Linked DNA regions of Macaca fascicularis. The main gene of each other region encodes a partner of the protein of the gene in region 3 in a complex. Links are inferred from orthologs where the notes say so. Each region holds a gene or a part of one and is shown on either strand. Other genes may lie near its edges.

Evidence for each region. The genes of interacting proteins can lie anywhere in the genome.
Region 1: RBM48 (region 3) and RBMX2 share a complex: the UniProt entries of both Homo sapiens proteins name them as parts of the minor spliceosome. The link is inferred for Macaca fascicularis from reciprocal best matches to the Homo sapiens genes RBM48 and RBMX2.
Region 2: RBM48 (region 3) and RNF113A share a complex: the UniProt entries of both Homo sapiens proteins name them as parts of the minor spliceosome. The link is inferred for Macaca fascicularis from reciprocal best matches to the Homo sapiens genes RBM48 and RNF113A.
Region 4: RBM48 (region 3) and PPIL2 share a complex: the UniProt entries of both Homo sapiens proteins name them as parts of the minor spliceosome. The link is inferred for Macaca fascicularis from reciprocal best matches to the Homo sapiens genes RBM48 and PPIL2.

Annotation. Positions count from the first base shown.
Region 1 is NC_088395.1:136,676,414-136,681,507, reverse strand, and holds the start of RBMX2 (RNA-binding motif protein, X-linked 2), read right to left. Parts: upstream 3,547-5,094; 5' UTR 3,483-3,546; coding exon 3,478-3,482; intron 3,267-3,477; coding exon 3,151-3,266; intron 1,700-3,150; coding exon 1,648-1,699; intron 1-1,647. UniProt on the Homo sapiens protein: Involved in pre-mRNA splicing as component of the activated spliceosome. As a component of the minor spliceosome, involved in the splicing of U12-type introns in pre-mRNAs.
Region 2 is NC_088395.1:126,232,238-126,236,460, reverse strand, and holds RNF113A (E3 ubiquitin-protein ligase RNF113A), read left to right. Parts: upstream 1-1,779; 5' UTR 1,780-1,885; coding exon 1,886-2,920; 3' UTR 2,921-2,977; downstream 2,978-4,223. Other genes in the region: NDUFA1 (NADH dehydrogenase [ubiquinone] 1 alpha subcomplex subunit 1), read right to left, coding at 113-202, 1,486-1,587. UniProt on the Homo sapiens protein: Required for pre-mRNA splicing as component of the spliceosome. As a component of the minor spliceosome, involved in the splicing of U12-type introns in pre-mRNAs. E3 ubiquitin-protein ligase that catalyzes the transfer of ubiquitin onto target proteins.
Region 3 is NC_088377.1:128,836,224-128,841,683, reverse strand, and holds the start of RBM48 (RNA-binding protein 48), read left to right. Parts: upstream 1-2,256; 5' UTR 2,257-2,274; coding exon 2,275-2,385; exon of another isoform or gene 2,386-2,645; intron 2,646-2,938; coding exon 2,939-3,129; intron 3,130-5,460. Other genes in the region: peroxisomal ATPase PEX1, read right to left, coding at 1,767-1,895. UniProt on the Homo sapiens protein: As a component of the minor spliceosome, involved in the splicing of U12-type introns in pre-mRNAs.
Region 4 is NC_088384.1:31,462,366-31,467,701, forward strand, and holds the start of PPIL2 (RING-type E3 ubiquitin-protein ligase PPIL2), read right to left. Parts: upstream 3,547-5,336; 5' UTR 3,453-3,546; coding exon 3,421-3,452; intron 256-3,420; coding exon 206-255; intron 1-205. UniProt on the Homo sapiens protein: Has a ubiquitin-protein ligase activity acting as an E3 ubiquitin protein ligase or as an ubiquitin-ubiquitin ligase promoting elongation of ubiquitin chains on substrates.

The DNA.
Region 1 (5,094 bases), on a different chromosome or scaffold from region 3:
TATATTACCTTCAAAATAAGAAACAAAGTAGATTTCTTTTTTTTTTTCTTTTCTTTTTTTTTTTTTTTGAGATGGGGGAATCTTGCTTTGTCCCCCAGGCTAGAGTGCAATGGTGCAATCCTGGCTCACTGGAACCTCCACCTCCTGGATTCAAGCAATTCTCCTGCCTTAACTTCCCAAGTAGCTGGGATTACAGGCGCGCACCACCATGCCTGGCTAATTTTTGTATTTTTAGTAGAGATGGGGTTTCCCCATGTTGGCCATGCTGGTCTCAAACTCCTGACCTCAGGTGATCCGCCCACCTCAGCCTCCCAAAGTGCTAGGATTACAGGCGTGAGCCACCATGCCCAGCCAACAAAGCAGTTTTTTGAAAGGCACTGTTATCAGCGGCAATCTTCATGGAGAGCAACGTGTGTAACCAGAATAGAGAATAGAGAATTAGAATAAACAAACAAGCACACGTGCTAGCTGATCATCACTCAATGCAAGTAGAACTAAACAGCTCCAAGAGGGAAGGCTGAGTAGAAGTACACAAAGGGGTAGAAATTATAGGCTGCACCTGCTGTGAACCTTGCAACATCCACAAGTTGAAGGAAGCAATCTTTGTCCCTGCCAGGGCCCTCCACTCGTGTGGGTTGCCCAGGTTCTCTATCACAGCCTTCTTCTCACGGGTATTGCCCAATTCCTTTCCCATGGCTTGCTGCCCCATAAGTGGCCCAACCACTCAGCCAGGGCCCTCTGTCCATGGATGGCCCTACCATCCTGCCATAGCAATCCCTCTGCCAGTGTATGCTACCTGTGTTTGCTTGGCCAGCCCCTTTTGCCATGGTCTGCTACCTGTACATGCTGTCCAACTTCTCTGAAACAGTACTATGCTCTGAAGGCCTACAAAACCCAAATGTAGTGGTCCTTTGCACCTGTGCCAAGATCCTCTGGCCCTGTGGACTAACTGTGCTGTTTACCTCTGGGGTTGCAGGCCAGCTGCCCAGCCCCTCTCCTACTAGCTGCTACTACCAGTATGAGCCACCAACACCCTCTCCCACCAAATGCTGCTGCCAACACCTCAGCAGAATGAAGAATATACAGATCTCCTATTCATTCTTGTTCCTCGTCAGGCTGTGATTCTCAGCCTCCAGGTAGAGATTGGCTTTGCTCACTAACCTTACATTCATTGAGAATCAAAGAAAGCAAACTACAACCTTCTTTCTGTTTTTCATCCCAATTCCTCTGTGGTTTGCCCCAGTCGTATGATGCCACACAGGCAAGGACCAGAAGGGCCCTGTGACCATGGGTTACCCCTAGTTTGCAAGAGCCCAAGGAGGCGTACCAATATGGAACCTTCCTGAGGGTTCCAGTCTGTTCCAGTCTAGGCCCAGGCTGAACAAACCTCAGTGAAAAACAACAGAAATAGACTAGAATCCCCAAGATGGCCTCCCAAATTAACAAACCTCTTGGATCTCCCACAGGAGAACATTCTAGAACCATGTCCTGGGACTGATCTAGACTAGAGCAGAAGCTCCAGCCCTCCCCATGCAGGGACACCATTCAGCCTAGAGTGAAAATAAGTGGTTTTTGTGATGCCACAAAATGCATTACAGAAAAAAGTACTCTGTCGACTCAGGAGGCAGGAAATGAAAGGGGACTTACTGTGAGAACACACAGATGATGTCCCCTTCAGTCAGTTCATAAGGAAGCCCTCCTAGAAAAGAAAACCACATTTCAGTTCCACCAACATTTACCAAGTGTTTACTACGTACCATGCACTAGGCCAGGCACTAGGGGTGCAAACAGTAAGCAACAGGCCCTGCCCTTAAAGAAATCAAGTCTGGGCTGGGCACCATGGCTCACGCCTGTAATCCCAGCACTTTGGGAGGCCAAGGCGGGTGGATCACCTGAGGTCAGGAGTTCGAGACCAGCCTGGTCAACATGGCGAAACCCCGTCTCTACTAAAACTACAAAAAAAATTAGCCGGGCGAGGTGGCGGGCACCTGTAATCCCAGCTACTCAGGAGGCTTAAGCAGGAGACTCGCTTGAACCCAGGAGGCAGAGGTTGTAGTGAGCCGAGATCACGTCACTGCACTCCAGCCTGGACAACAAGAGTGAAACTCCAACTCAAAAAAAAAAAAAAAAAAAAGAAAGAAAGAAATCAAGTCTGATGCAATGACAGAAGTACATGTAAGGTGCCAGTAGAACAGGAAAAGGAGTGACTAATTTTGAGTGGAAGTCAGTGTCACCACTAACAAAAGTAAACTGATCACTCAGTCCTCCTGGCACCCAAAATCCTATGGGCAAAGCAGATAGTTTCCATCACAAACCTCTGCTTCCACAAACATGTTGAATTCATCTGCTCATTACCCACAAATTTACAGCTATGATACAAAATTAGTCTACATATGTCATGATTAACCCCACCTACACATAGACAAAGGTTATAAAGACACTGTTAAGCATTTCCTAGGGAATAATTTCCCTTCCAAATGTTTCTTTCCTCATCTGTAAGATGGGGATATTAGCAGGTAACTCGCAAGACTGTTATAAGAGTTAAATAAAACGATGCATATAAAGTGCTTAGCACAACGTTTTTACAATAACCTCTTTGAAGCATCAAACTTGTACAATTACTGGTTGTGATATAAAGTGAATACAGTAATGGTAGTGTGGCCATGGTCAGAAAGCAGGAGCTAGAGGAGCAAAGTGAATTCTGCAAGGGAAGGGGAATGGGGGAGGGCGGTGGTAGCAATATGGGGCTGTGGCTAAGACCATGAGTTCTAGAAAGCTATAGTTCTGCCTGTTGCGGTTATTAGCTATGTGACCTTAAGGAAGTCCCTTAACTTCTCTGCACCCCAATTTCCTCAGCTGTAATAACGGGTCAGGGGGTGAGAGAGAAATAACAACAGTCCCTGAACCTTAGCACAGCAAATGGCAAACAGTAACTCTCATGAGCACTGATTTGGCTGGGAAGGAAAACTAAAAATGGGGCAGAAAAAAAAAAAAAAAAAAAAGATGGAACACGGATTCCCGGGCAGACAGCAGATGGATATAAAGGAGGGCAATGAATGTAAGCAGGAGTGAAGGGTGAAAATGCTGAAATAGTCGGACACCGAGCAGGAGAATCTTGGGAGCACTGCGGAAGAAAGATGTGCACCTCACCCAGGAAGATCCAGGCGCTGTCCTTGTACTCGGAGTGCCAGGACACTTTATCGGCCACCCCAAGCTGGACCTCTCGTTCATTCAGCTCGTTGATCAGCTTCACCTTAGTTAAAGGACTTCACGGTGGCGGGGGTGAGGGGAGGCAGAAAAGCAGACAAGTAAATGCTAACCGGCCGAAGCTGAAGAAGAGCAAAACAAGGGGACGAGGTGTTCTAGTCCCCGCGCCTCTCCCGCCCCTCGACCCCGCAGACGCTCTACCACCCCAGCCCCAGTAGACCACCCTCAGCGGCCCGCTGCTCGTTCCTCAAAAGGAAGCTGACGCCTTACTTCATCTCCGCGGGCTCGCGCTCAGCATTCAGGAATCAGCGCCCGGGAAAGGCAGCGCCGCGCATGCGCGGCCCCGGCGCCGGTGGCTCGTCGAGTCGGTGACCTCGCGCCGGAAGAGCTGGGGCGTACCGGGGCGTGGCGCCTGCGCACTAGAAGCCTTCCGCGTTCTTTGCGGTTACCTCTTGTAGAAACGGTTTTTCTCTAATTTTTCGCTTTTTCTCCTCTGTGAAATGGGGTAAAGGCACGAGCCTGGGCTGTTGCAGGACCCCCAGCTCTTGAACGATATCGGAAACTGGTTAGATTAGCTATAAATATTTGCTGAATGAACGGAATAAGCAGCCTGATGTGGCGACTTTAGTCTCAGCCCTCGCTCCCAGTCCAGAGTCCCACTTGGACCTTCGCTCTTAGTCAGTTGCTCACGCACAGACCCATCAAAGCATCCCTGTCATGGCAGAAAAGTGAAGAAGATAGGTGAAAAGGTAAATCTTCTGTTGTTCTTATCCCAATACATAGGCAACAGACCAGTGTGCCTCTATAGGCTGAATTGAATACCTACAGATTTGCATGAGAGCCGCTGCACTTACTCTTTTCCATAGGCTCTCTCCTAGTTGAGCAGGAGACAGAAATTAATATTGTTAAATTAATAGCTAGCAAGTGAGCAGATGATGTACTGTATGATACTAGAGTATGTGCTAAGCAATTTACATGTATTGTCTCTCCACCCTCACAACAACCCAATGAAGCAGATAAAATTACAATTCCTGGCCGGGCGCAGCAGCTCATGCCTGTAATCCCAGCACTTTGGGAAGCTGAGGGAGGAGGATTGCTTGAACTCAGGAGTTTGAGACCAGCCTGGGCAACATAGCAGAACCTGTCTCTAAAATAAAGGAAAAAAGGGGGGGCCAGGTGTGGTGGCTCACACCTGTCATCCCAACACTTTGGGAGGCTAAGGCAGGTGGATCACCTGAGGTCAGGAGTTCAAGACCTACCCAGCCAACATGGTGAAACTCTGTCTCCTCTAAAAATACAAAAATTAGCTAGGCATGGTGGCACACGCCTGTAATCCCAGCTACTCGGGAGGCTGAGGCAGGAGAATCACTTGAACCTGGGAGGCAAAGGTTGCAGTGAGCTGAGATCGCACCACTGCACTCCAGCCTGGGCAGCAGAGCGAGACTCCTTGTTTTTAAAAAAAAAAAGAAAGAGAAAGTAAAAGAAATTTCCACCCTCGTTTTGTAGAGGAAGAAATGAGGCTCAAATGAATAAATTAACTAGAAAGGTACTAGAGCACCTGCACCCAGTAGGTCAGGTTGATTCAATCAGTCCTTACTGAACATCTAGATTTGTCCTGTGCAGCTAAGGTCTGTAGACAGGAGTATCAGGTTGGGTCCTCTGCCCTCAAGGAGCTAATATTATAATTAAGGGGACAAGATATATTTGCCTGATAGATTTCAACCAGAAATATCTAGAAACCAGTGGAAGAGATGATTAACATATAATATGTGATTTAACCCATATTGACAGTTTGAATCCATTTTGCACATGTCCACATCAGTACCTGCTCTTGGACCATGATGTTCTAAAAGTAAAAGTCCAGAGCTGTGTGGCCTATCTCAGAGC
Region 2 (4,223 bases), on a different chromosome or scaffold from region 3:
CTAGTAGACAAGAAAATGCTAGTTATATATTAGCATTGTATGACCCTTGGCAAGGCATTACCAGAACCCACCTCAACCCTGGCAGAAGGCTGGCATCAGAGTGGCTTCTTACCTTTGACACATAGTGACGATTAACTCCAGAGATGCGCCTATCTCTTTCCATCAGATTCCAGTGATACCCAAAATGAGCAATCCTTTTTTCCTTCAAATAAGAGACAATTATTGTTGCAGTTTATAAAAGTGAGTGACCCAGTTGATGGATATTACAATTTTTAGAAGGGACATTCTAGAGAAATGGAATCATCATTCAAATAAAAATGCAAATTAGTAGTACAAGAACAGAATCTCCTAAATAAAATCAGACCACTACACTTTAGGATTAAGTTGGTGACCGTGACTTCTTACACTATTTTAACCAACATGAATTTTTTTTCCTTTTTAAAAAAAAGAAAAAAAAAAGAAATATCTAGTTGTTGCCTTTTGGGACACTAAGAAACAACAGCTGTAGATCACACGTGGACAATCACAAATTCAAAAAGTAAGTAAATTTATACTCTGTACTCTAGAGATGATGTGAAGGGCTAAGAGGGGAAAATGAATCCTGATGTAAAACACAAGACCTTGCAGTAAATTCCTAAACGCTTGCAAGAGAAAGTGGGGAATAAAAAAGTCAAGGGTGGCCGGGAGCGGCGGCTCACGCCTGTAATCCCAGCACTTTGGGAGGTCAAGGCGGGTGGATCACCTGAGGTCAGAAGTTCGAGACCAGCCTCGCCAACATGATGAAACCCCCGTCTCTACCAAAATAAATAAATAAATAGCCGGGCGTGGTCCCGGCTACTCAGGAGGGTGAGGCAGGAAAAATTTTTTTTTTTTTTTTTGAGACGGAGTTTCGCCCTTGTTGCCCAGGCTGGAGTGCAGTGTCGCGATCTCGGCTCACTGCAACCTCCGCCTCCTGGGTTCAAGCGATTCTCCTGCCTCAGCCTCCCGAGTAGCTGGGATTACAGGCATGCGCCACCACGCCCCACTAATTTTGTATTTTTAGTAGAGATGGGGTTTCCCCATGTTGGTCAGGCTGGTATCGAACTCCCGACCTCAGGTGATCCGCCCGCCTCGGTCTCCCAAAGTGCTGGGATTACAGGCGTGAGCCACCGCGCTCAGCCAGGAGAATCTCTTGAACCCGGAAGGCGGAGGTTGCAGTGAGGGATTCTCAGGCTTGAGCCACCTCTTCTAATCTACCTTTCCGGCCCCCGCGTCGCTACTCTGCCCTAAGGCCCACTTTGATACACCCAGAAACGCTGTTTTTCACCAGAGCAGGATGTGGTTTCTACCGCGCTTCGTTTCGCAAGCCTCGGCTTCTAGGCAACCGGAAGAAAGTAGAGGGCCGGCCTCGGAGAGAGGGTCCGCAGGCTGACGGCCTCTCTGCCCACCATCCTTTTCAGAAATCAGCCAGTGGAGTCAGCCCCCGGGCCCAGGAAGCCGCCTTACCTTGCCCCCGTTAGTGAACCTCTGGATGTACGCAGTAGCCAGTCCTGGAATAAGCAAGCACACGCCCATGGCGGCGAGTCCGGGGAGAATCTCGAACCACATCTCTGCCCCGTTATCTAGGCCAAAACCCTACTTCTGGGTCCTTGAAAGGTGACCGGGCTTCGGCTCCCTTCCCAGTAAGCCCCGCGGCCGCCCGCGAGCGGGGCGGTGCCACGTACGGCTCCGGAGGAAGCGACGGGATCTGCCAGGGCTCAAGAGAGGCTGGCGCTCGCGCTCTCGCAGTTCTCTTCCGTCAGTGTCTTTTGCTTCGACTCCCGGCGGAGCGCGCGACGTGGAGTAACGCGCAGAGGCCAAGTGCAACCCAGGCAGCGACGGCCGTTTCGGAGCTCGGGACTCTAAAATGGCAGAGCAGTTTTCTCCAGGGAAGACGGCGGATCAGGTGTGCACCTTCCTTTTCAAAAAGCCTGGGCGGAAAGGGGCTGCTGGACGCAGAAAGCGCCCGGCCTGCGACCCAGAGCCCGGAGACAGCGGCAGCAGTAGCGACGAAGGCTGCACTGTGGTTCGACCGGAAAAGAAGCGGGCGACTCACAATCCAATGATACAGAAGACTCGTGACAGTGGTAAACAGAAGGCAGCTTACGGCGACTTGAGCAGCGAGGAGGAGGAGGAAAATGAGCCCGAGAGTCTCGGCGTGGTTTATAAATCCACCCGCTCGGCGAAACCCGTGGGACCAGAGGATATGGGGGCGACAGCTGTCTATGAGCTGGACACAGAGAAAGAGCGCGATGCACAAGCCATCTTTGAGCGCAGCCAGAAGATCCAGGAGGAGCTGAGGGGCAAGGAGGATGACAAGATCTATCGGGGAATCAACAATTATCAGAAATACATGAAGCCCAAGGATACGTCTATGGGCAATGCCTCTTCCGGGATGGTGAGGAAGGGCCCCATCCGAGCGCCCGAGCATCTACGTGCCACCGTGCGCTGGGATTACCAGCCCGACATCTGTAAGGACTACAAAGAGACTGGCTTCTGCGGCTTCGGAGACAGCTGCAAATTCCTCCATGACCGTTCAGATTACAAGCATGGGTGGCAGATCGAACGTGAGCTTGATGAGGGTCGCTATGGTGTCTATGAGGATGAAAACTATGAAGTGGGAAGCGATGATGAGGAAATACCATTCAAGTGTTTCATCTGTCGCCAGAGCTTCCAAAACCCAGTTGTCACCAAGTGCAGGCATTATTTCTGCGAGAGCTGTGCACTGCAGCATTTCCGCACCACCCCGCGCTGTTATGTCTGTGACCAGCAGACCAATGGCGTCTTCAATCCAGCGAAAGAATTGATTGCTAAACTAGAGAAGCATCGAGCTACAGGAGAGGGTGGTGGTGCTTCCGACTTGCCAGAAGACCCCGATGAGGATCCAATTCCCGTTACTTAGCTGTCTGATAATTCTTAAATTTAAATAATAAATATTTTGTTCTTTTGGAAGTCTTAATTCGTGTCCTTCCTTTGTAGAGACAGTGACAGAGAAGGCGGGTGGTGAAGTAGGGTCCTGGATTAAAAACCTCAAGGTAGGTATAATCAGGATTTTTAGCCCTAGGATAACCATTTTGCCTGTGTTTCTTTTCAGAACACTTTGGCATCAATTATAGGGGTGGGAGTAGTTTGAGAAAAGAGCTATAATTTGCTTGAAGTAGCCAAAGCTATGACGAAAGTAAGAACTCTGAGCCTGTTTATCATATCACATTTCTGTATCACTTAATAGTTTACAAAGTACTTTCATGCATTCTTTCTCTTGGGAGCCTGTACTACAAAATATACCGGAGCCAAGGTGTTGGGGAGAGGGGTTGCGTTTGGGGAATTGGTAGCTAGTACCACAGGCTTCACATATGGGAAATGTTCCTTGCTGTCTGGGTTATTTATTTATTTATTTATTTATGAGACGGAGTCTCGCTCTGTTGTCCAGGCTGGAGTGCAATGGCGCGATCTCAGCTCACTGCAACCTCCGCCTCCCGGGTTCAAGCGATTCCCCTGCCTCAGCCTCCCGCGTAGCTGAGACTACAGGCGCTTGCCACCACGCCCAGCTAACTTTTTGTATTTTTAGTAGAGACGGGGTTTCACCATATTAGCCAGGATGGTCTTCATCGCCTGAACTCGTGATCCGCCCACCTCGGCATCCGCCCACCTAGGCCTCCCAAAGTGCTGGGATCACAGGCGTGAGCCACCGCACCCGGCTCCCTTGCTGTCTTGGAAGCAGCTATAGTTAACCCCCTCTTCCATGGATGATAAAAGTATCTGTGCTCAGCTATCCAAGTGTGATAGACACTAGCCTCATGTGACTGTTGAGTACTTGAAATGTGGCTGACCACTGTATTGGACATTGCTATTGTAGACTGAACTTGTGAACCTGCAAAGGGCAAAAACATAGTATTTTATCATCCATTACCTGAAACTATCTGTGTTCTCACAGTCTCTGTAATAGTGTTGATCACACCTTATTAAAATTAGTGGATGTACCTGTCTTTCCAACTGGTTTATGAACTCGGTGACTAGCCTAGTGCTTGGCATATAATAAGCACTTAATAAATAAGCCTGGAGAGGTTTAAAAAGGGAGATTGGGGCCAAAGCCTTGAATCCAAGCTGAGGAGCACTGACTGTATTCTGTAGGCAGTGGGGGAGATAGCAGAGGTTTGGGAAGAGAACACAATCAGACGGGGTTTTTTGTTTGTTTTAGTGTTACT
Region 3 (5,460 bases):
ATCATAGTGAACAGTTAAATAAATTATGGCAAATTTGTGCTAGAATACTAATTAACAACTTAAAATGATGACCTTTTAACAAAATAAAACACTCATAATAACATTAAGTAAAAACACTAGGACACAAAACTGTATGTGTGTATATAGGACTTCATTTCTGTTAAAAATGAAGATTAGAAACAAAACTGGAAGATTTGATCCAAACTGTCAACATTAGTCACCTCTAAGTTCTGGGATTACGGGTAATTTATTTTCCCGTTAACAATTTTCCATGCTTTCTAAATTTTCTACAAAACATAAATTATATAAATTTATATAATTCATCAAGAAATAAATGTATAGATTTATAGAATCTATAAAGTCATAAACTTATTACATTGATAATTAGAAAGCAAAGTTGACCTATTCTGCTAATATGGGCTGAACAGAAACAGCAATTTGTTCCAGGGCTAAAGACATTTACATTTCAAAAAGATATGCATGAATTAGTTCCTATAAGTACTTCTTGAAGGCTCAAAATTTAAAACAAGATCAAGACCACTAAATTCTTAAATAGTGACGAATATAAGGTAACATGAATTAATTCTTATAAATACTTCTCGAAGGCTCAAAATTTAAAACAAAGATCAAGACCACTAAATTCTTAAACAGTGATGAATGTAAGGTAACAACTACATCTTAGGATCAAATTAGAGTTACTGTAAGAAAGCATTCCTACTATCATGAGTGGATTTGAAAACATGTTGAAAAATCCCATCGAAGCTGACAGAGCACTGAACCAACTTCTACCTGGAACTTGGTGACAGTGACTGATTTGTCTCTAACCATAAAGCCCATCAAAAACCAAGATTGTCTACTTAGTAGTAAAAAATAATAACGACGATGATAGGAGGATTCTGCTGAACTCATGTTTTCAATGGACCAAAAAAATCTTCCCCTAGGTATGGAGAAGTAACTCAAGTGGAAAGAAGGGATGCTTGAAATTATTGCAAACTCTTTATTCATTACATAGATTAGCCACTGGTGGGTACCATGCATCCAGGATTTATGAAGATTTCAAATACGCCGTCCTTTTGCCCCCATAACCACACTCAAACTCGTGAGACCATGTGCCTCTATTTTTAATTACGAAAATAAGGACGCTGTATCTCCACCGGTGGTTAGAACTGCGAAACATCCCAACCACAACGTCCAGAAGGGCGACTGATCGCAGAGCTTCAAGTGATCTTAACTACGTTATGTGTTCCTGACACACTACAGCTGTGTTCCGAGGGTCTGGGACGCAGGACAGAACCATTACTATATTAAGCTTTCCCGCTCATGGGACGCGGTGCTCAGTCCCCGGGGACCGACAGGGGCTCCACCAACAACTCTGCGCCTCCCTCTCGCGGCCCGGACGGCAGCAGCGCAGGTAACTGGAAATGACTGGCAAGAAAAGCACCTTTTAAAATAACAAAAACAAACCACTTATCAGGAACTTTTCCAGCCTGGAATGAGGAATATTTATAAAAACAGTGGTAGAATATTAGGACATTTCTAGGCCCAGTTTCACCAAGTGAAAAGACCTGTGATAAGACGAGCCCAGGGCTGCACTGGACTTGCGGGATGCAGAGACTAACCAGAAGGGCCCTGCCGTCGAGGGACCCTAATCTCTGTACGCTTCGGGGGCGCCCGGGTGGCAGCCGGTGTCCCGCCGCGTCCCTGAGAGGCTTCGGCCTTGTCCGACCCCAGGCTGAAGATCAGGTGGCCCGGGGCCAGCACGTTACCTGCAGCAGGTGCAGCTGGGCCACGAGACCCCGTGGCAGGTGGAGGAAGCAGTCGCGAGCGTTGGTGAAGGCCACAGTCACTGCCGCCCCGCCTCCCCCAGCACCCGCCAGGCGATCGCTGCCCCACATCGTCCCGAAGCGTCGCTCTGGGTTTGCCCACCCTAGCGCCGCAAAGGACACGGGACCTGGCAGGCCGAGGACGTCGGAACCGGAGGAGATCGATCGGCCCCGCCCCCTGAGGCCCCGCCCCCTCTCCCCGCTGCGCGTCTCGCCGTAAGCCTGTAGTGGGGTGGGACAAGAAAGCTTCTGTCACCCACCGCGCCTCTCCGCCAAGCCGCTCGGGGGCGGCACCTCGTTCATCAAATCCTCGCACGCAGGAAACGATGGCCGACGCTGTCGATTCTTCAGCCAATGCTGACACTCCTTAACTCATCCCGCTCTCTTATTGGATAAAAGGGAGGTCAGCAGGGCGGATGTTGTCCTCCCTGCAAGGATCAAAGTAGGCAAGATGGCGTCCAGCGGTGGGGAGTTAGGGAGTTTATTTGACCACCACGTCCAGAGGGCGGTGTGCGACACGCGGGCCAAATATCGGGAGGGACGACGGCCTCGTGCTGTCAAGGTAAAGTGATTTTTGGTTTCATTCGCTCTCCTCGGTAGCTTTTTGTGAGCGCTAGCGCCATATGGCTAACCTACGGAAATAAAGGCACGACAAGGCTTCCGTCAGATCTGTCGCTCATTAGAGCTGGCGTGAAGAACCCTGGGCCAGGTACCAAAGATTCTCACGACCCTTTTGGTCAACTATTAGAACATCAACTCCACGAGAATAGGGCTTGGTTTTAGTCATTGGATCTTCAGTGTTTACAGTACTACTTGGCACAGGTAAGCGCTCAGTGAATATTCGTTGAGTGATTGTTCCCAGTGACTTCTGCCGACTCAATTTCTGGAAAAAAATGTCGACTGAAGGTAGTCTGTTATATGCCTTAGGTAGCCTCTCACATGGACTGTTACTCTTTATGCAGAGGGAATGGCAGAAATTTTATTTTGTGTTTTTTGCTGACTGGGTTGAACAGATTATTTCTTGTTTTCAAAGTTCTGTTTAAAAAAAAAAATAGAGGCAGATTCGTCCTAGGCTTATTTGCGAAATACGTTTAATAACTATGCATTTCTTTCAGGTATATACAATCAATTTGGAATCTCAGTACTTATTAATACAAGGAGTTCCTGCTGTGGGAGTCATGAAGGAATTAGTTGAGCGATTCGCTTTATATGGTGCAATTGAACAGTACAATGCGCTAGATGAATACCCAGCAGAAGACTTTACTGAAGTTTATCTTATTAAATTTATGAACTTACAAAGTGCAAGGTAAGGTGCAAGTTAAGCAATGACTCGTTTCATTTCCTCCATTCATATTTCTGTCATTTTGGCCCCAAGTTTCCCTCATTCATATCTGAATTACCCCAAAATGTAATCTAGCATATCTTCCTACAGCCTTTTTACAGGTTAACTTTACTGAAACACTGTATCCATCACATCCCATGCTTAACAATGTAATGTCCTGTAGCGTGGTAGAGTAAAAGTTGGGTTTGGCCAGGCACGGTGGCTTACGCCTGCAATCACAGCACTCTGGGAGGCCGAGGCAGGCGGATCACGAGGTGAGGAGTTTGAGACCAGCCTGGCCAACATGGTGAAACCCCGTCTCTACTAAAAATACAAAATTAGCCGGGTCTAGTGGTGCATACCTGTAATCCCAGCTACTCAGGAGGCTGAGGCAGGAGAATTGCTTGAACCCAGGAGGCAGAGGTTGCAGTGAGCCGAGATTGCGCCATTGCACTCCAGCCAGGGCAACAAGAGGGGATCTCCGCCTCAAAGAAAAAAAAAATGGGTTTGAGGGCTGGGCGCCAATAACTCACGCCTCACGCCTGTAATCAGAGTACTTTGGGAGACCGAGGCAGGCAGATCACTTGAGGTCAGGGGTTCAAGACCAGCCTGGCCAACATGATGGAAACCCCGGCTCTACTAAAAATACAAAAATTAGCCGGGTGTGGTGGTGCAGACCCATAGTCCCAGCTACTCAGGTGGCTGAGGCATGGGAATCGCTTGAACCCGGGAGGTGGAGATTGCAGTGAGCAGAAATCACACCACTGCACTCCAGCCTGGATGACAGAGCGAGGCTCCGTCTCAAAAAAAAAAAAAAAAAAAAAAAATTTGGGTTTGGCGCCAGGCATGTGGCTCACACCTGTAATCCCAGCAGTTTGGGAGGTGGAGGTAGGCGGATCACCTGAGGTCAGGAGTTCAAGACCAGTCTGGCCAACATGGTGAAACCCTGACTCTACTAAATACAAAAATTAGCTGTGTTGGTGCAAGCCTTTAATCCCAGCTCCTGGGGAGGCTGAGGCACAAGGATCACTTGAACCCAGAAAGTAGAGGTTGCAGTGAGCCAAGATCATGCCATTGCACTCCAGCCTGGAAAGAGTGAGACTGTCCCAGAAAAAAAGAAAAGAAAAGAAAAAAAAGTTGAATTCGATCCCAGCACTATGGAAGGCCAAGGTGGGCAGACAGCTTGAGCCCAGGAGTTCGAGACCCGACTGGCCAACATGGCAAAACCTCACCTCTGCTAAAAATACAAAAATCAAGGTGGGCGTGGTAGTGCATTCCTGTAGTCCCAGCTACTTGGGAGGCTGAGGTGGGAGAATCAGTTGAGCCCAGGAGGTGGAGGTTGCAGTGAGTCATTTATGGACCACTGCACTCCATCCTGGGTGATGGAGTGAGACTATGTCTCAAAAGAAAAAAAAATGTTGGGTTTGGAGTAAGTTTTCCATTTCCACTGCTTACTAGCTTTGTGATCTTGGACAAGTTATTTAACCTGTTTAAGTTTTTCCTGTTCCGTAAAATCTATATGGTAAAGGGACCTATCTACTTCTTGAGGTTGTATGAGGATGAAATGAGATAATCCATATAAAGGGTTTAGCAGAGTGCCTCCTGGTCAGAATACAGTAAGCATTAGCTATTGTGGTTTCTACTGTTACTCCTTTCTGCAAATTGACTCAGTGTTTTCCGGCCTTCTATGTGACATAAACCCTCTGCTCCAAAAAGGCTGAAGTATGCAATGCCTTATCTATTTTTATGTTGATCTCTGTTCTCCTCACTAATCTGCTCTGAGACCCATCCTTCTCTGGCTGTTACAATTCATATTTTCTTTCATGTGCTATCAGTAGAAATCATAATCTACCACAAAAGCACTTGATTTTACTGGGTCATGTGTGGTTTTCTCAGGCTGCTGTTATATGTAATCTCACTTTCTTAACCAATCTGCCAGCTGTCATGGTTAGAGAAATATTTTCTCGAGCTTTTCTGTTTTCCAAAGTACCTAGTCTAGTAGGCTCTGAAGTAAGACATCTGGATTTGAATCCTTGCTCCTCAAACCAGAGTATGAGCATGGCTAAGTTATGTAATGTCCCAGTGCTTCCGTTTCATTACAGGGTTGTTGTTAGGTGTTAATTCAAGTGAAGCACTTACAACATTGCCTGGCATATGGTAAAATCTGAGCAAGTATTTATCATTATCCCTGGATACAGAAGTAGTTATATTTATTGTAGTACCTGGCCAATCATAGATGTTTAGTAAGTATTTATTGACTGAATAACATTCTTCTCATTTTCTCATTGTTATATGTTTAATAGTTCCTCAGTTATT
Region 4 (5,336 bases), on a different chromosome or scaffold from region 3:
AATCTACATTTTACAAAAACCACCACTAAGAAGAAGCATGTTCTTCTTTCTTGAATATATTTCTCTTTCGTGAACTGTCCTCGGCCCATTTGTCTACCACAGTTTCCGTGTTCTTGTTGTCTATTTTTACAGCTCACTGTATCCTGAAGACACTGTTCCTTAATACCACTCCCCCAACGGGGAACAGAAAGACCGCAAGCCTTACCTGGCTTCTTGCCACCATAAAAGTGAGTATATTCAGCACAAGTAATGTACCTGAAGAAGAGAGGAAGATAATGCTATGACCACCACCTTTATACAGAGAACAAAGTCTTTGGAAGTAAGTAATCTTTGCTTATTCCGCATATGCTTATTAAACATCTATAAGCATGGGACGGGCATGGTGGTTAATGCCTGTAATCCCAACACTTTGGGAGCCCGAGGTAGGTGAATCACTAGAGGTCAGGAGTTTGGGACAAGCCTGTCCAACAAGGTGAAACCGCGTCTCTACTAAAATTACAAAAATTCGCTGGGCGTGATGGTGGGTGCTTGTAATCCCAGCTACTCAGGAGGCTGAGGCAGAGAATTGCTTGAACCTGGGAGGCAGACGTTGCAGTGAACCGAGATCGCACCACTATACTCCAGCCTGGGCGACAGAGTAAGACTTGTCTCAAAAAAAAAAAAAAAAAAAAAAAAAAAAAAAAAAAAAAACCAGCTGGGCGCGGTGGTTCACAACTGTAATCCCAGCACTTTGGGAGGCCGAGGCTGGTGGATCATGAGGTCAGGAGATCGTGACCATCCTGGATAACACGGTGAAACCCCATCTCTACTAAAAATACAAAAAATTAGCTGGGTGTGGCGGTGGGCACCTGTAGTCCCAGCTACTCGGGAGGCTGAGGCAGGAGAATGGCGTGAACCCGGGAGGCAGAGCTTGCACTGAGCCGAGATCGCACCACTGCACTCCAGTCTGGGCAACAGAACAAGACTCCATCTCAAAAAAAAAAAAAAAAAAATTGCTTATCTGAACGCCAGTGCTTGTTTAGCTGATAGAGAAATAAAAAAACCCTGTGGCAGTTAGGATATAGTTTATTCTTTAGGCGTAGGGGTGGGTAACTTAACCAGGGAAGTTGTCTGGCATGACTGTAGGTTCTATTTATAATTTGGTATCTTATTGCCACAAAGAGTCTGTTTCGTCAATCTTATTTCTATTTCTTTATTTTTATTAAAAATTAGCCACCATGCTCAGCTAATTTTTTTTTTTTTTTGTATTTTTAGTAGAGACGGGGTTTCACCATGTTAACCAGGATGGTCTCGATCTCCTGACCTCATGATCCACCACCTCAGCCTCCCAAAGTGCTGGGATTACAGGTGCGAGCCACCGCGCCGGGCCCCTTATGATCTCTATTTCAACGTTAATGCCAGTCAGTTGTTGTGTCTGGGCCACAAAAGGGAGGAAGATATAACAAGGTACAGCTGACCTCCATCGCATCATGGCCAGGAACTCAGTTTTAAGGTTTTCCTGGAGTTCTCTTAGGCACAAGGGTGTCTGCTCAGCCAGTAAGGGGATTTAGGATTTTATTTTTAGCTTACAGGGAGGAGCAGGCTCAGGAGCTGAAAATCAAGAGTTCTGTTTAAGGCATATTAAATTTGAGGGCACGGTGGCTCACGCCTGTAATCCCAGCACTTTGAGAGGCAGAGGCGGGTGGATCACCCGAGGTCAGGAGTTCGATACCAGCCTGGCCAACATGGTGAAACCTATCTCTACTAAAAATACAAAAATTAGCCGGGCATGGTGGCAGGTGCCTGTAATCTCAGCTACTGGGGAGGCGGAGGTGGGAGAATCGCTTGAATCTGGGAAGTAGAGGTTGCAGTGAGCCAAGATCGCACCATTGCACTCCAGCCTGGGCAACACAGCAAGACTCCATCTCAAAAAAAAAAAATTGAGATGTTTATCAGTCCTCCAGTGGAGATATCAAGTAAGCCACTAACTACACAAGACTGGGGAAAGCAGCTTATAGATGACTGGGAAATTATATCACTCACAGAGAATGTTTATGGAAAAGAAACCTATGAGATCTGAGAAAAGGGAGGAGGGTCCAGAAAGGAGGCTGGGAAAAGAGAGGCCGCTGAAGTCGATGGAAAACAAAGAGCACAGGAAATCTCAGATACCAAAGGAAGGCTTCAGAAGGAGGGAGTGGTTAACAGTGTGACATACTGTTGAGAACCCCAACAAAATGAGGACTGAGGCTGCCCTGGAGCGGTGGCTCGCCTATAATCCCAGTACTTTGGGAGGCCAAGGCGGGCGGATCACCTGAGATCGGAGTTCGAGACCAGCCTGACCAACATGGAGAAACCCCCTTCTCTACTAAAAATACAAAATTAGCCGGGCCTGGGGGCACATGCCTGTAATCCCAGCTATTCGGGAGGCTGAAGCAGGAGAATCCCTTGAACCTGGGAAGCGGGGGTTGCGAAAAGCCGAGATCGCACCACTGCACTCCCCAGCATGGGCAACAAGAGCGAAACTCCGTCTCAAAAAAAACACGAGGACTGAGGATTGAATACTAGAGTTAGCAACAAGAAGTCGCTGGCAACCTGACAAGGGGCAGTTCTGGGATCGAAATTCTGACTTGAGTGGTTTCAAGAGACTCAGAAAACAGCATGAAGCCACGGGTCTCTAACTTGTTCTGAAATCACGGCGGCAGCAGGAGGGGAACGCGGGGCACGGGGCATAGGCGGATTTTTTTGTTTTATTTTATTTATTATTTTTGAGACAGAGTCTGGCTCTGTCGCCCAGGCTGGAGTGCAGTGACACGATCTCGGCTCTCGGCAATCTCCGCCTCCCGGGTTCAAGCGATTCTCCTGCCTCAGCCTCCCGAGTAGCTAGGATTACAGGCGCCCGCCACCACGCCCCGCTAATTTTTGTGTTTTGGGTAGAGACGGGGTTTCATGATGGTGGCCAGGCTGGTCTTGAACTCCTGACCTCAGGTGATCCGCCCGCCTCAGCCTCCCAAAGTGCTGGGATTACAGGTGAGCCACCGCGCCCGGCCTGGTTTGCTTTAAATAGGAAGGCTCTGCAGCACGTGTGCAGGCTGACAGGCATGAACCAGAACACAGCCAGACGCGAAGTACGGAAGAGGGAGAGATTACAGGGGCAAAGCTCGCGAGCAGACGGGGCACGGTCCGGGCAGAACTAGAGTAAAGGAAGACCGGGCTGCGCTCGAGCCCGCAGCTGACGTCTTCGGAGCCGCGGCCCCCTGGGAGAGCGCGGCGGCCCGAGGGTCATTACCCTGACTGGAGAGACGGCGGCAGCTTCCGGGAGGAAGTGACTTTTGGGCTGGGCTCTGGGGACCAGCTGAGAGGGAAGGCGAGCGGCGAGCAGGGCGGGACAGGCGGTTTACTGAGGCAGAGCGGAGCGCCACTCCCGACTGCGGCTCAACTTACATCTTGTCCTTCTGGTGCTGTCGCTTCCCCATGGCGGCGCGGCGGCGGCGGCAACTACCTAGCACGAAAAAGCAACCGCTGACCACTCAGACCATGGAGCCACTGCCGAGTTTCGTGACCACTTCCGGGTTCCGCGGCTCGCCCCGGAAACAGGCGCTTGGCGGGCTGGGAATTGTGGTTCGCTAGCGCCAGGTGCGCATGCTCGGAAGGATCGCCTGCCCAGTATGGGGTCCTAGCTAGGTGTGTTGTGTCTCGCTGGCGCCTTCTCGGGGCAGAGCTCCCTCAGCCTCGAAGCCCCATCTTCTCGAAGGGTCTCTCCCGACCGCCTCGCCTACCCCCCTCAGCCACGGCTCAGGGCCATTCCCATACTGGGTTCTCAGGTCTTATTTTATTTTCGAGACAGGATCTCGCTCTGTCGCCCAGGTTGGAGTGCAGTGGCGCAATCACAGCTCACTACAGCCTCGACCTCCCAGGCTCAAGCGATTCTCCCACCTCAGCCTCCCGAGTAGCTACGGGCACGCGCCACCACACCCGGCTAATATGTTAATTTTTTGTAGAGACAAGCTCTTACTATTTTGCCCAGGCTGGTCTGGAGCTCTTGAGCTCAAGCAGTCCTCCCGCCTTGGCCTCCCAAAGTGCTGGGATTACAGGCCTGAGCCTCCGCGCCCGGCCAGCGCTCAGGTCTTTTTCAGTGTCCTCCTAGAGCTTCAAGTCTCATGAGCCTCCACCCCATCCTTTCCCGCCTCCGTGGCCGACTCCTTCAAAGCCATGTACCACCCTCGTTCTACTCGCTCACTTCTCATTCTCTCTGCATATTCCGTCCGCACCGCCTCCAGGCCCCTTGGAGGCCCAGCAGCAGGTGGCCATCAAGCCTAGAGGTCCAAAACCCTGCCTGATCCCTTCCTTCTCTTCTGCCAGACTCTTGCCTTGGGTCAGAACAGTACCTTGGGCCCCCAACTACACTCAGGCCTGGGGTAATCTTGCCTAGGCTCCTAATTTTAAACGCCATTTATATCCCATGACTCCCAATACTAAGTCACAAGTACTCCAGGTTCCTGATCTCCACTTGGGTAGCCGCTGATCTCAAATTTAACATGTGTGGACGGGCGTGGTGGCTCACACCTGTAATCCTGGCACTTGGAGAGGCTGAGGCAAGCGGATCACTTGAGGTCAGGAGTTCAAGACTAGCCTGGCCAACATTGCAAAACCCTGTCTCTACTAAAAATACAAAAATTAGCCGGGTGTGGTGGCGGGTGCCTGTAGTTCCAGCTACTCAGGAGGTTGAGGCAGTGAGAATCACTTGAACCCAGGAGGCAGAGGTTGCAGTGAGCCAAGATTGTGCCATTGTACTCCAGCCTGGGGTGACAGAGCAAGACTCTGTCTCAAAGAAAAAAAAAAACTGGAAACAAATGTCTATGAGAACACAGCTAAACGACCCCTGGTACAGCCATGCAGTGGACTATTTTGGAACTGCTTAAAGGAATGAAGTAGATATCCCAAGAAGTAAAGACATCTCAGTGTTTTATTTATGGAAAAAAGCAAGTTGCTGAGAAGAACGTGCAATGTGACTCGTACTTGGGTTAAAATTTTAATGTGTGTATGTGTGTGTGTTTGTGTGCAGAGACAAAACATTTGGAAGGGTACACATGAAACTCATAGCGGCAGTGGACTCGTATTTTCTGTATTCACTTCTGTATTGTGAACTTTTTTCCATGGAACATGGTCTGCATTTGTAGAAGTTTAAAAACCAATTAAGGCCGGATGCAGTGGCTCATGCCTGTAATTCCAGCACTTTGGGAGGCTGAGGCAGGTGGATCACCTGAGGACAGAAGTTCAAGACCAGTCTGGCCAACATGGTGAAACCCCATCTCTACTAAAAATACAAAAATTAGCTGGGCATGGTGGCATGTGCCTGT